2 linked regions of the Neurospora crassa OR74A genome follow. The protein of the gene in region 1 interacts with the protein of each later gene in a pairwise test. Links are inferred from orthologs where the notes say so. Each region holds a gene or a part of one and is shown in the gene's direction. Other genes may lie near its edges.

The links.
Region 2: the proteins of NCU02758 (region 1) and NCU02420 interact in a two-hybrid assay, tested with the Schizosaccharomyces pombe proteins (2 studies listed by BioGRID). The link is inferred for Neurospora crassa OR74A from reciprocal best matches to the Schizosaccharomyces pombe genes cdc13 and spg4.

Annotation. Positions count from the first base shown.
Region 1 is NC_026501.1:3,456,050-3,462,591, forward strand, and holds NCU02758 (G2/mitotic-specific cyclin-B), read left to right. Parts: upstream 1-2,917; 5' UTR 2,918-3,285; coding exon 3,286-3,297; intron 3,298-3,393; coding exon 3,394-4,677; intron 4,678-4,743; coding exon 4,744-4,882; intron 4,883-4,938; coding exon 4,939-5,051; 3' UTR 5,052-5,239; downstream 5,240-6,542. Other genes in the region: NCU02757 (mitochondrial 54S ribosomal protein RML2), read right to left, coding at 237-341, 406-479, 542-1,514; NCU16375 (hypothetical protein), read left to right, coding at 5,484-5,882.
Region 2 is NC_026507.1:2,554,237-2,560,778, forward strand, and holds NCU02420 (AAA family ATPase), read left to right. Parts: upstream 1-1,788; 5' UTR 1,789-2,052; intron 2,053-2,061; exon of another isoform or gene 2,062-2,137; 5' UTR 2,138-2,559; coding exon 2,560-2,652; intron 2,653-2,731; coding exon 2,732-5,021; intron 5,022-5,120; coding exon 5,121-5,341; 3' UTR 5,342-5,716; downstream 5,717-6,542. Other genes in the region: NCU02421 (hypothetical protein), read left to right, coding at 1-1,246; NCU02419 (mitochondrial 37S ribosomal protein S17), read right to left, coding at 6,109-6,462.

The DNA of each region.
Region 1 (6,542 bases):
GGCCGGGCCCTGAACCACATCGCCGTAGAGTTGCTCAGTTGAAAGTGGAAAACAAAGACAAACACGGCAGATCTCCAACAGACGATGTTATTGGGCCCAATACCCACACATGGCATCCTTCCGGTGATATACTGAGCCCTCGAACTGCCGGCCTGCGAGCAAATGAATAAGTTTCACTACATATTGTACAAGATGGTGGGTATATAGCCCAAGTTGAGCACAGTGGGTTATTTTATTCATGTAGTCTTCTTGTTCCTCCGGACTCCCATGTTGCGGACCCGGGGGGTAACCACCCACTTGTTGACGTTGGACTTTCTGCGAGTCTTGTAACCACCTTTGGCCTACAGAAAAAGAGGGTAAGGCGTCTGTTCAGAGGAAGGAAGGAAATAAAGGGGCATGACTTACAGGTGTACCCCAAGGAGAAACAGGGTGCCTATTACCCTTCGACTTACCACGACCACCACCGTGAGGATGGTCATCTACCAGGCCGTTAGTTGGTTTTGCTCGCTTGACAAACGGATTGTTCTGGGAGTCTACTCACTTGCGTTCATCGCCAAACCTCTCACAGTAGGCCTAATGTTGAGCCAACGGCTTCTACCGGCCTTGCCCAGTTGTCTGTAGTGATGCATAATGTTGCTGGCAATACCAACGGTGGCGCAAGCGTCCTTGCTGACCCTTCTGATTTCTCCGCTCTGCAGTCTTACGTTGACGAACTTGCCCGTCATAACCTTTGTACCATCCTCACGGGTCTCCTCCTCTTTGGAAATAATGGTTGCATATGTTCCGGCACTGCGGCAGAAAACAGCCTTGCCATCCGGACGGGAGCCAACGCAATAGATCTGGGTTCCAACCGGAATCATGGACACAGGCAAGCAGTTGCCTCTCCAGCATGTCCTCGCAGCCAGAATACCAGGATCAACGACACCACCCATAGAATCGAGCAGGTCCTGGGGAAGACCGGACCGGTAGCTCTGCACAACGTCTCCAGCCCTCATACCATCCGCCGCAACAATATAGCTCTTCCTCCCTGTGGCCTCTTCCTTCACCAGCGCAATGTGCGCGCTGCGACCGGGATCGTACTCAATGCGCAGGACTGTGTGCGGACCGGGGATCCATCGTTCAAAGTCGACCATGCGGATTCTTCGCTTGTGACCACCACCGCGATGTCTGACGGTGACGCGACCACTGTGATTACGGCCACCCTTAGATTGACCCTTCTTGGGAAAGGTAAGAGGAAGATACGGCCGGCCCTTCCACAGGTGGTCGTTGATCGGGCGCTTCAAGTGACGGATACCGGGCGTGTGCGGCTTGTAGGTTCTCATCATGCCGGCGTCCCGGACGTAGGGAGTGACGATCTTGGCTTTGGCATCTTTGCTGGTGTTGCTGGTGCTGGTGCTGCTTGCTGATTGTGTGGCGGCCTTGGTGGCATAGCATCTGGCGACGGTGCGGCCCAGCACGGTTTGGGCAAAGGAAGCTGTCCCCGCAAGGAGGGGTCGGAATTGAGGCTGCAGCATGGCTGCTCGATCGCTGTCGGATATCCCAAGCTCCTGGCGGTGAGCTCTGGGGAGGTGAGGGTGCTGGAGGGGACAGTTGCTGCGATTTCCAGCAACCGGAATGCGACGTCCTCGCAGGCTGCTCGTCGAGGTTCTCGTCGCCGGCTTGTCGTCGATAACTGCTTGTGGAAAATTGCTCGGCTGATGCGCCAATCACAGCCGTGCATTGGTTTGCGATCCCTGACGATTGTGGCTGCTAATAGTGTGGCTTGTGTGGTGCAGCCACTGCCCTTTGGTGAAGAGCCTTGTTTCTTTCCAGGGGACAAGTGCTGCAAACAGCGCTCCAAAACGCGGGCGCGGGAGGAAGGCACCAAGTCATCACCGCGTGAAGGTGCAGTGCGGCGCGGGGAAAGAGCGTGCATCGTGCTCCATTCCTGCCCGCCCAAGGTTCCAGTCGCGTCTGACCCAGGATAGGTAAGGTACCTTAGTGTTGACAGCTGCTGGACACGCGCAGCCTGTTGGACAGTTTAAACCAATCAGAAGCTGATTTGACCGAATTGCCCTGCGGTTGCCAGTGTTGCCCTGACGGCGGGCGGATGACAGCAAGGGAGGGACGTGGCCTGTGGTGGCCTTGCCGCCTTCAGTTCCTTCACTGCGTGTTTGAGGTGCGACCCTTCTTTGTCCCTTCTGCTTGCAGTGCTCCATAACAGCGCCCGGCCCAAGTACAATTTCCTGGCCGCTTTCTCGACTCCGGATTCTGCAACTCGACACTCACCATCCGACTAACAACCATTTCCCTGGACGCACGACAATCGACTTTCAGCTACAGCAACAACAGCAACTTTCGACTCCGGCCATTGAAGCCTGCATTTCTTCGGCAGTACAACCTTTTCGACTTGCTTATTCGACAACGGCATCCTCATCATTCGACAACTTAGCAAGGCAGGGAACAGCAAGACGTGCGTCTGACAGAAGCCCATATTGCACGGCGCGTCATCACTTGTTGTGGTAATTTTGTTCCCTTTCCGGTGTCTTGGACTTCAAAGCTTCAAAGCCTCGCTGCACTAGTGACCTCGAAGGGCACTAGAGGTACTTTGCCCCAGTCCCAGCACGTCCGATCCGGTACCTGGGTGGGTGTCCACACGCCCGCTCCGTCCACTGGCACTCCAGCCCCATCCACTGGGCTGCACTGGCACTGGCACCTCCACCAAGACCTCGCAAAAACAAGACTCCCATTCTTCTCTGCCTCGTAAACATCATACCTCCCTTTCCCGTCCGCCAACTAGCATTCCCACTCCGCATCACCTGGACTCGCAAGGCCTTGCCATCACGACGGCAACCCTTGGCCTCGATCAGTCAATCTTTCCGGACGTCGCCATTGCGTGCTTTGCCCCGACCGTCGTCACCAATTGGGCAACATTCCCGATCAACAACAGCACATCCTTCACGGTCTCAGCCAACCTTCTGTTGCGGGACCCAGGGTTGATCTCCGGCTTCAACAACGTGCCGACAGCGACATCACTGCCGACCGCCGGTGTTCATTCTTCCCGACATCTTTGGGCTCTGTAGTCGGTGCGTCTAGTCTCATTGACTGTCCGTGTTCACAATTCCCTCGTCGTTCGCTCGTCGTTCGCGTCAACCCTCCCTCCGTGACAGGGATCGGTCTTTCAATAAGAACCAGTCTCTCCACCTCGAACTTCGCCAAAAACGAAACATCCAAATAGCTAGCTGACCTCCCCGTCAGTAGACACATTTCACATCAATTTCTGTGCCAGCATAGGTTTAGGCGAGAATGCCGAATCTTGTAAGTTTTACTGCACAGTTGGCATTGTCGTTCAATCATGCAATTGGTTGTCCACAGCCATGCTATGTTTGTACTAACTCAACCCCAACCCTGCAGCGGACGAGGAACCCGCGTTCACTCGCGAACGAAAATGACGAGAACAGTACAGCAACCACGACACGTATGACGAGGGCCAAGGCGGCCACTCTCCATGTCGACGAATTGTCCATGCCCGCGAAAACCATGCAGACCAAAAAGACGACGATTTCGACAACCACCGCCGCCACTGCCGCTCGCACTGTCGGTAAGCGGAATGCACTGGGCGACGTCAGCAATGTCACCAAGGTTGAAGTTGCGGGAACGAAGAAAGCGATTGCGAAGCCCGGCCTAGTTTCGAAGGCGGCCCAGCCGAGTGGCATCCAGAAGAAGACCACAACTGCTACGAGCCGTACTGCGACTACTGCCCGCCGTGCGTTATCCAACAAAGAGCCCAACAAGACGGTCGGCCCCAGTGCTGGTGCTGGCACCATTCCCGCCAAGCGCAAGCCTCCTCCGTCCACATCCAAGCTCGCCCCTATCAAGGAATCAGCACCTGTTGAAAATGAACCGGCCCGCAAGAAGATCCACGTCGAAGAGCCCGAGAAGAAGAAGGTTTCCAGGACTGAGGCCAAGGAGAACGATGCTCCCTCCAAGGCTGTGAAGCCGATGGCCGAGCCCCCCGCTCCCGTCGTCCGCGATGTCGTCCCTGTTCAGTCAGTGTATCCGCCAGGTGTTAAGGACCTTGACACTGAAGACCTCGAGGATCCTCTTATGGTTGCCGAGTATGCGACGGAAATTTTCGAGTACCTCCGCGACCTCGAGTGCAAATCAGTGCCGAACCCTCAGTACATGAGCCACCAGGACGACCTCGAGTGGAAGACTCGTGGCATTCTCATCGACTGGCTCATTGAAGTTCATACTCGGTTTCATCTGCTGCCCGAGACGCTGTTCCTTGCCGTTAACATCATCGATCGTTTTTTGAGCGAAAAGGTCGTCCAGCTCGATCGTCTTCAGCTCGTGGGTATCACTGCAATGTTTGTTGCCTCCAAGTACGAGGAGGTCCTCTCCCCCCATATTGCCAACTTTCGCCACGTTGCAGATGACGGCTTTACTGAAGCTGAGATCCTCAGTGCTGAGCGTTTCATTCTATCGACCCTCAACTACGACCTTAGCTACCCCAACCCTATGAACTTTCTCCGCCGCATCTCCAAGGCAGACAACTACGATATTCAATCCCGTACCCTTGGCAAGTACCTGATGGAGATCAGCTTGCTGGACCATCGCTTCATGCCTTACCGTCCCAGCCATGTCGCTGCTGCTGCTATGTACTTGGCACGATTGATCCTTGGCCGCGGAGAATGGGTAAGTTATACAGATGGATTTATAATACTCGCCATATCATCCTGTGGCTAATACTCATAATAACAGGACAAGACTATCGCCTACTATGCTGGCTATACCGAGGAGGAGATCGAGCCTGTATTCCATCTCATGGTTGACTATCTGGCCCGTCCCGTTATTCATGAAGCATTCTTCAAGAAGTATGGCAGCAAGAAGTTCCTCAAAGGTATGTCAAACAACCGGCCTTGCTTGTCTCGTAATCTTATTCTGACATCTTCTCAGCCTCCATCCTTACTCGGCAGTGGGCCAAGAAGAACGCTGTTCTCTATGGCGTTGTTGACGCCGAGATCCCACTTGACAAGCTCAAGGACCGCCCCGTTGACCAGCTGCCTTAAGCTTGTTTGGGTGCAGCTGCGTTCACGGGCTAGCATTTGGGTTCTGGCCCATACAATGTTCTCAAAAGAGGCTACGATGCGGTTGGATCTCGCTAGCGCTTGACGACATATCATGAAGTTATAGATGACGGTATGCCTTTTGTCTCTGAACCCAATGGAGACCGCGTTCGTCCAATTTTCCTATTCTCTCTCTCAAAAAAAAAAGCATCCTATTACCTGCTTGATGCACAGGGAACCGGCTCTAGGAAACACGGCGAGGGTTAATCACCTGGTCCGCGCCGACGGGCTGGCTTTTGTTTTTCCTTCATCTTTCCGGCATGGCAGGTTTTTGTTTTGCACTGCTCCTTATTTACACGCTCAAACTTTTCTTTGCGGTGGCGCCAGGTGTCAAGGGAAATCAGGGAGAGAGGCGTAGAGGTATCTCTTTATTTCATGTTCCTCCGTGCAGAGGGCCTCAAAGGTATGGTTAGGTTGCGGTTTCTCATTGTTTACCCCCCCCCACGGTTCGGCACGGAATTTATCATTACTGTTCTATTGCTGCTGCTCTCTCCAGATATCGGATTCTGCGCACAATCAAGCTCGGTGCATGGTGTGAATGATACAAGGAGAGAAGATGTATGTCAGTTACTGTGTGGTCGTTATGAAGAAACGGCTTTAGCGAAAGAGAAAACAACAAAAACGGTGATCCACTGGGAGGCAATGAACGCATGTCGTGGGAAGGTTGGGGAAAAGTACTACTGTACATACATACATTCTGACGGATTACAAAGTCCTCATCTGAATGGACTGATTTTCAGTTCGAGGCACACGGAATGGGAAGCATATGCATGAAGCAAGTGCCTGAGCAAATGTGATTCTTCCTTGTGGCTGTATTGATGATGAATGTGAGGTGTTCTCAGGATGGAATGGATCAAGGTTCTAGTGTATACAGTAGCGATACCCCAGACTTTATCGAGGACAGATGATGATGATTGAACAATAATGTTAGCGTATTCGTAATTAGTCAAACGGAGGAGAAGGCCAGATGTCCAGTCGAGGCTGTAGTTGTGAGTGTCCTTACCAGTTGGGGGGGGGGGGGGGGGGGGGGGGGTGGCATTCCAAAGCCAAGCAGGCTCTAAACTGAAACTATTCTGGCCGGTTCGGAGATTGTCTCATTCCAGTGCAATGAAAATGCTTCTATTATTGCTTGAAGACTACTGGGCAGGTTAAAGTACAGAGTTTTGGGGACTATTTTGAGGAACACTCGACTCCAACCCTCCAAATCCAACCGGCCCTCCTTAACGCTCCGGCCAGGTTCTTCGTGTTGGCTTGGTATCATTCTCCAAGGCGCTTGGCTTTTCAGTTTCATGGCTTTTGAGTTTCCTGATCTTCAACCTCCCGGTCTTTGACTTCCTACTCTAAGACTTCTTGGTGTTCCACCTCTTGGCTATCTACGTTGTTATCTGTGACCTCTTGGTTTTGTAGATTCCTGGTTTGAAAATTGGTCATTCG
Region 2 (6,542 bases), on another chromosome or scaffold:
ACTGGAGGACCCTTCGGTTAAGCCCATTGAGCTAGTAGCACATGACCCCTTGAGATATGTGGGGGACATGCTCGCCTGGTCTCACTCGGCCGCAGTGGGCGAAAGAGAGGCACTCGAAGTCTTGTTCATATCCGAGGGTGACGAGATCGCCAAAGGCATCCAGGTGGGCAGAGAGGCTGAAGTCTGGCGGCTCGTGGCCGAGGATGGGGAGGAAATGAATATCTTCGATCCTGTCGTGGCCCTGAACCAACTAGTAGATAGAGACATGTCTGGTGCAGTCCGCATATTGCGACAGAGGGTCGAACAGGTTATTCAGACGAACGAGGAGACCATTCTGGCCTTCAAACTTGCGAACCTCATCAACTTTTATAAGAGCACCTTCTCCAGGTTGGTGGGCCCGGCGTCGATTCTCGTTGAAGCGATGGGTACCCTCGAAACGGAAGCATTGCGCCAATTCCGATCTCTGGCTCGGGACCACGTCGCCACTCTCCAAACTGAGTTCCAGCACACTCCACCAGACCTTCGGCCTCCCGACTTCCTTACGGATGCGTTGGAACAGCTATCGGCAATCATGAAAACGTACGAAACGTCACTAAGCTCATCGGGTGATGATCCAGAAGCAGAGTTCGCGTCCATCATGGCTGAGGCATTCGACCCATTCATGGCTGGCTGCATCAATATGGCCAACCATGCCACCCCGCCGTCCAAATCCATCTTCCTGATCAACTGCTTCGTGGCTGCGCGGACAACGCTCTCCGGCTTCACTTTTGTTCGCAAATATGCTGCAGATATACAGACCAAAATTGAGGAGGAAAAGGCTCGGTTGGTTATTGCACAGTACGAGCTGTTTAGGGCCGAGTCCGGTTTAGATTCCCTCATTGAAGCGCTGGATGGGCTAGACATACGGAAGAAGGATGATGTTGGAAAGGTTGCGACACTAGAGGAGGTTCAACCTGAAGCACTGCGACAGTCAAGTCAGAAGCTGGACGATTTCTTGCCATCGGCGCTGATTGATGCAACGGAAAAGCTCAAGAATCTGCAGGATTCCAAGCTGGCGAGCAGTGTGATTGAGGAGGCAGCCGAAAGATTCTGCGTGGATTTTGAACATGTGGAGGAGATGTTGCTGTCGGCTGACGAATTGGAGGAGCAAAGGAGAGTTGAGGAGGACGGCGACGAAGAACATTCCCAAAGTTTTCGGGCGCTGTTCCCAAGGACATCGAGCGAGATCCGCGTGCTATTGTCGTAGCGTGAGCGAAACGGCGAAGGCAGGAGAAGCCAGCTATGGTTTTTACTGACGGGACCCAGGTCTGCCATGTTCTCGTCAAAATAGTTTCAATCTCATATAAATCTCACCATAGTGGACTGCTGGGTAAGGTAAACCTTGGGAAGTAGCGGGAGCCGAGAACCCCGGTCGAGTGTGTACGTGTACACTGGTGTGGTCGTCGGCGTATGACTGAAAAACGGCCCTCAAGTAGTGACAAACTTGGGTACCTTTACAGGGAAATACAAGACTGACAGCACTCTTGCATGCGATGAGACTGAGCTTGAATCCCGACAGCCCTGTGAGTCCCCTCAAGCGCGGAGCCGCGGACGAGGAGGATCTGGAAGCTGCTGAATACCTATTGGGCGGTGCGGGGCATCCCATTCGGCCGTCCCGATTTCCGATGCCCAAGAATAGGTACATATCGCATATCAACGTCATTTTCGGGCCGCGCCTGACGGGATGCTGATGGTCCCGATGGAAGCTCAGATGAACGATACAAGTCGTGCTATCGGCCTCCCCCTCAGGTTGGGCCTGTTCGTTACTATCCAGAGGCCAAAAGGTAACAAACAGGTGGAACGGGCCAAGGCAGACAAACAGACGAAAAAGGCGAGAAAGGCCTGGTCTGGGTACCTGCCACTGTCGGGCTGCCAGGTCCCCGCCTTCCCGCCCCAATTGCCCCACTACGTCTTCAGCTAGGGAGCTAGTAGGTCCCATTCAGGCGGTTGCAACAACGTTCATAAGGCAACATCGATAACTACACTTAAACAAAGATACCATCGATCCTATATGTAGGTCTACTGGTGTGCAAGCTTAGATCCTGGATACCTACCTGGTATACAAAACCTTGATACTAACCTCAAGACACTCAATTAGTTGGCACGTCTTGGTCGCGAATCAACCACGCACATTGATTGCGTCAACGTCCCGTTGCACCGCCAATACGTCTCCTCTCCGGATTCCGGTTGGCCTACAGAAGCGCGCTGGTACCTCTACGCCTCAAGAAACGTGGACCTGAGCCTTCCTTGGGGGCCCTTCGTTAGACCTGTTCTTCCATTCGGCAACTGCCTTCGGGACGTTTTGCGACCGCCCGATTTTCCAACATCCTTCGCAACGGCGATGCCGTCTGTGCGCGTAGAGCTGTAGGGTACAGGCCGATCCACAGCATCTGCTGAGATCCTGTTCTTGACCGGACACTCCCGTCTACCTAGGCCGCCCTTGGAGAGCGAAAGTCCGCTACGCCCTTTTGAAAAGTGCACACAGACATTCCGTGATGTGTATACGTCTTACTTCTTACGATGCTGCGCAACAGATCAGCCGCTTCAGTTTTGCAAAAGACATATGATGAAAGCTACCTGACATGCTCCACTGCTGTCTATTACGAAGGCCAGGTCAGTATGACGTTCTGTGATCGTCACCCTTTTCTCCCATCTGTCAGTAACCAAGTGCTAATCTTGCGCGGTCATCTAGGGCAATGAGGATGAGGCTATGCGATGCTGGAAACAGGCACTCGAGCAAATCTATGACCAGCAAGCAAACAAAATCTTGCCAGCCTTCACCCCACGTTCCGAGACGGAGAAGGCGCTGGTGGACAGTCTTCGGCAACTCGAGGTACAGTGCAAGGAACGAATTGATCTTCTAGAGGCCCTGCGTCTTTCGCGCCTCGAATCTCTCGAGCATGACGCTACACCATCCGCGTCACGTTTGTCACCGTTGCCGAACCTTTTAGAACCCCCCAAGGGCTGGATAGGTGACGGAACAATCCCAGCCGTAACCTATACAGACCTTTCCCGACCAACTCCCGCCAAGCGACCCTTTGTAGGGTCTAGGTCCATCTCAGAACATACCATGCCTACACCTGGGCCTTCTGCCGAGGTGCGTACGCCAGGCGGGGAGTTTCCCTTTGCATGCACACGACCAGTGTTACCGTCACCACCGTCGGCGTCAAGGCCTTCGCTCGAGGAGGGAACATCGTCAGGGACACGCAGCCCCGAGAAGCATACCATGCGCACAACCCTGCGGACCGGACGTTTGGGAGACAAGAGAACTAGCCATCGCCAGACACCTCCAACCTCGGTTTCAGAACGCCCTGGTGCCAGTAAGGCAGCCTCGCTTGCCTGGAGCTATCTTGGGAAAAGAGAAAGATCGAGTCCGTCAGGGAGTGCCAGCGGTAATAGTGGGGGAATTGGCACCACTGATCAGACGAGTTCGGTACCGCCCGCAACCTCTCCCTACTTAGTGGAAAGGCGACGTCAAAGTCCAGCGTTGGCAGGCCGGCAGCAGCAATGGGACACGCATACCAGGCGACTGGTCATGGGTCGTCCTCGGAGCCAATCCAAACCGCCTCATGCACGGCCTACTCCGGAATCATCGGCACCCCGCCGTTCTGATGAGCATACACACACTCGCCAATCCTCCTTCACCATCAGCGCTGCTGCCGCATCAAGTGCACTCAACGCATTGACTTTGAGGGATAACAACGAGCGCTCGCCGTTGGAAGGGGGGGAAGGACTTCGGCTAAGAACAGCTCCGCTACAGACACCAAGGAGGAGGCCTCTGCCTGCGACGGGGAACACAGATGAGGAAGACACTGCATACTCTGCGAAAGGAAGCGCAACAACGACCAGAAAATCGAACAGAAAGATGTCCGATCCAACGCTGGCCCAACGGAAGCCCATCAGCCGAACTTCTTACCTAACAAGCACGGCAAGGCCTGCGTCGGGCAGATCGGCAACGACACAGGATGTTGATACACCTCGGATGAGCGCTAAGGCAAGGGGCAAAAAGCTTGAACAAGTCCCAATTTCGTCAAGTTCTGAGGATTCTGAATATGGAACTCCCCGACGGCCGACAACAAGACAGCACCTAAGACAGATACTGAAGCAGAGGGATGTTTCCCTGGTTGCCGATACACCGGCCCACAACTCCGAAAGTCAAGAATCTGAAGGCAACGATGGGGCGGCTCAACAAAGGTCAGAAGCTGCCAAGTGGAACAAGCAAAAGGCAAAGATATTGCGCCGTCTTCCTCCAGGGGTTGATGAACATGCTGCAAAACAGATTCTAAACGAAATCGTCGTTCAGGGTGATGAAGTTCACTGGAATGACATAGCCGGCCTCGAGGTAGCCAAAAATGCACTTCGGGAGACCGTAGTTTATCCTTTTCTCCGACCGGACCTATTTAGGGGTCTTCGCGAGCCGGCCAGAGGCATGCTGCTTTTTGGGCCACCGGGAACAGGAAAGACTATGTTGGCGCGCGCAGTGGCCACGGAGTCCAAATCTACCTTCTTCTCCATCTCTGCTAGTAGTCTGACAAGTAAGTACCTCGGCGAATCAGAGAAACTTGTTAGGGCACTGTTTACGCTGGCAAAGGTATTGTCGCCGAGCATCATTTTTGTTGATGAGATTGACTCGCTGCTGTCGCAGAGATCTGGCTCTGGGGAACACGAGGCCACGATGAGGATTAAGACGGAGTTCCTCATTCAATGGAGTGATCTTCAGAGAGCTGCTGCCGGCAAAGAACCTGCAGCAACAGGAACAAAGGAAAACGGCACCGATGATGATGTGAACAGAGTCTTGGTGCTTGCCGCCACGAATCTCCCGTGGGCTATCGACGAGGCTGCAAGACGACGATTCGTGAGGAGACAGTATATCCCACTTCCCGAAGCTGATACAAGAGCAATTCAGTTCAAAACGCTCCTCAGTCAGCAAAAGCATACACTGACCAACGAGGATATCAATGAGCTTGTGGATATGACCGATGGTAAGTGGCGCTACCCGTTCGTGAATGTTTCGCCAGCCAATTAACTCCCTGGCCGGGCTGCCCGCCAGGTACCTTTTGCTAAGCACGTGCACCTCGCAGGATTTTCCGGATCCGATATCACAGCGTTAGCTAAAGATGCGGCCATGGGTCCTTTGCGGTCTTTAGGTGAAGCGTTACTACAAACGACCATGGACCAAATACGCCCAATAGAGCTAAAGGATTTCGTCACCAGTCTGGCTACCATTCGGCCTAGCGTTAGCAAGGCAAACCTGAAGTTTTATGAAGATTGGGCAAGAGATTTCGGAGAAAGAGGCGGTTAGTGAGGGAGTAGGCCACGAGGCGACGAATCAGAGTAAGGTACTCAGGCTGTCAGGGAATGGGTAATGTCTGGGTCTGGCAAGCCTGTAGAAACCACTTCGAAGAAGGGTATTGCTCGGTGACACAAATCAAAGAGTGTGACAGGCATCACAACTATAGGTATCTATAAGCTGTCAGGGCAAGGAGCGGGCAGAGCGGAAATAGTAACGGTGCGCATTCGGAAAGCACCCATATGGGGCAGCAAAGAGGGCGGAGGTGATCGCAGTCCATCACACAGCAATCCAAGTAGAATTCCGCTTTGCTGGCCAAATAAATCGTTCAGCGCGGATTGAAGCTGGTTCGCACACTGCTGTCCACGTGTCAATTGGTATAATCACCCTTCCATCCATTGTGCCCTTGCCCGTCGTTCACTCCGAGAGGTTGACGAATACTTCCGGACACCATGCTTCCCATCCCTTTTCTGACATCTAGCGTTGTCCTTTATATCGTACAGCGTGTCTACGTCGATAATCCTGCACGTATTTACCAACAGCTTGTGCTCGAAGTTTGTTTATGCCTTCTCGACACAATCCTTGACGCAAGTCTAGACACCTCGGACCATAACCAACCACCACCACCCCCCCTTCTCTCTCCTCCCCCAACGTCAACACCATCCTTTAGCAAAAGACACAAATAGTGAGGGCGTGCATGAGCCGACGTATGCCGGAATGCATCTCGCTCCAATCCTGGTCCCTCGTCTTCGTCACTCGGCTTGTCCACACTGCGTTCCTCAATCAACCTTTTGTAAGCTGATGATCTTCTCGCGCATCGCAATCTCCCTCACGGCGTGGCGAGCCATTCTCTCAGCAAGCTCAATCGCCTCCTCAGCTGCCTGCATCTTTTCCCGCAGCACCTTGCGCTCCTTCTTGGCCGCCTTTGCCGCGTCCTTGGCGTCCCAGAGCTCATCCAGTGAAGGGATGGGCGGGCGCTCCTCGATCGGCGTGCCGGCGGGCGCAATGATATGCTTGACCACGTGCCGCTTGGATTTGCTAGTGATAAAGCCGGGCATGATGGCGACCACGTCACCGGCACGGAGAGAGTTGTTGGGGTCGTGGACCAGGTATTGTTTTGGGTCGTCGAAGTGCTGGATGGGTGATAAAGAAAAAAAAGAAAGGAAGAAGAGGTTAGCTGACGACTCTCCTACTATGCCCCGTGTCTTGGAGA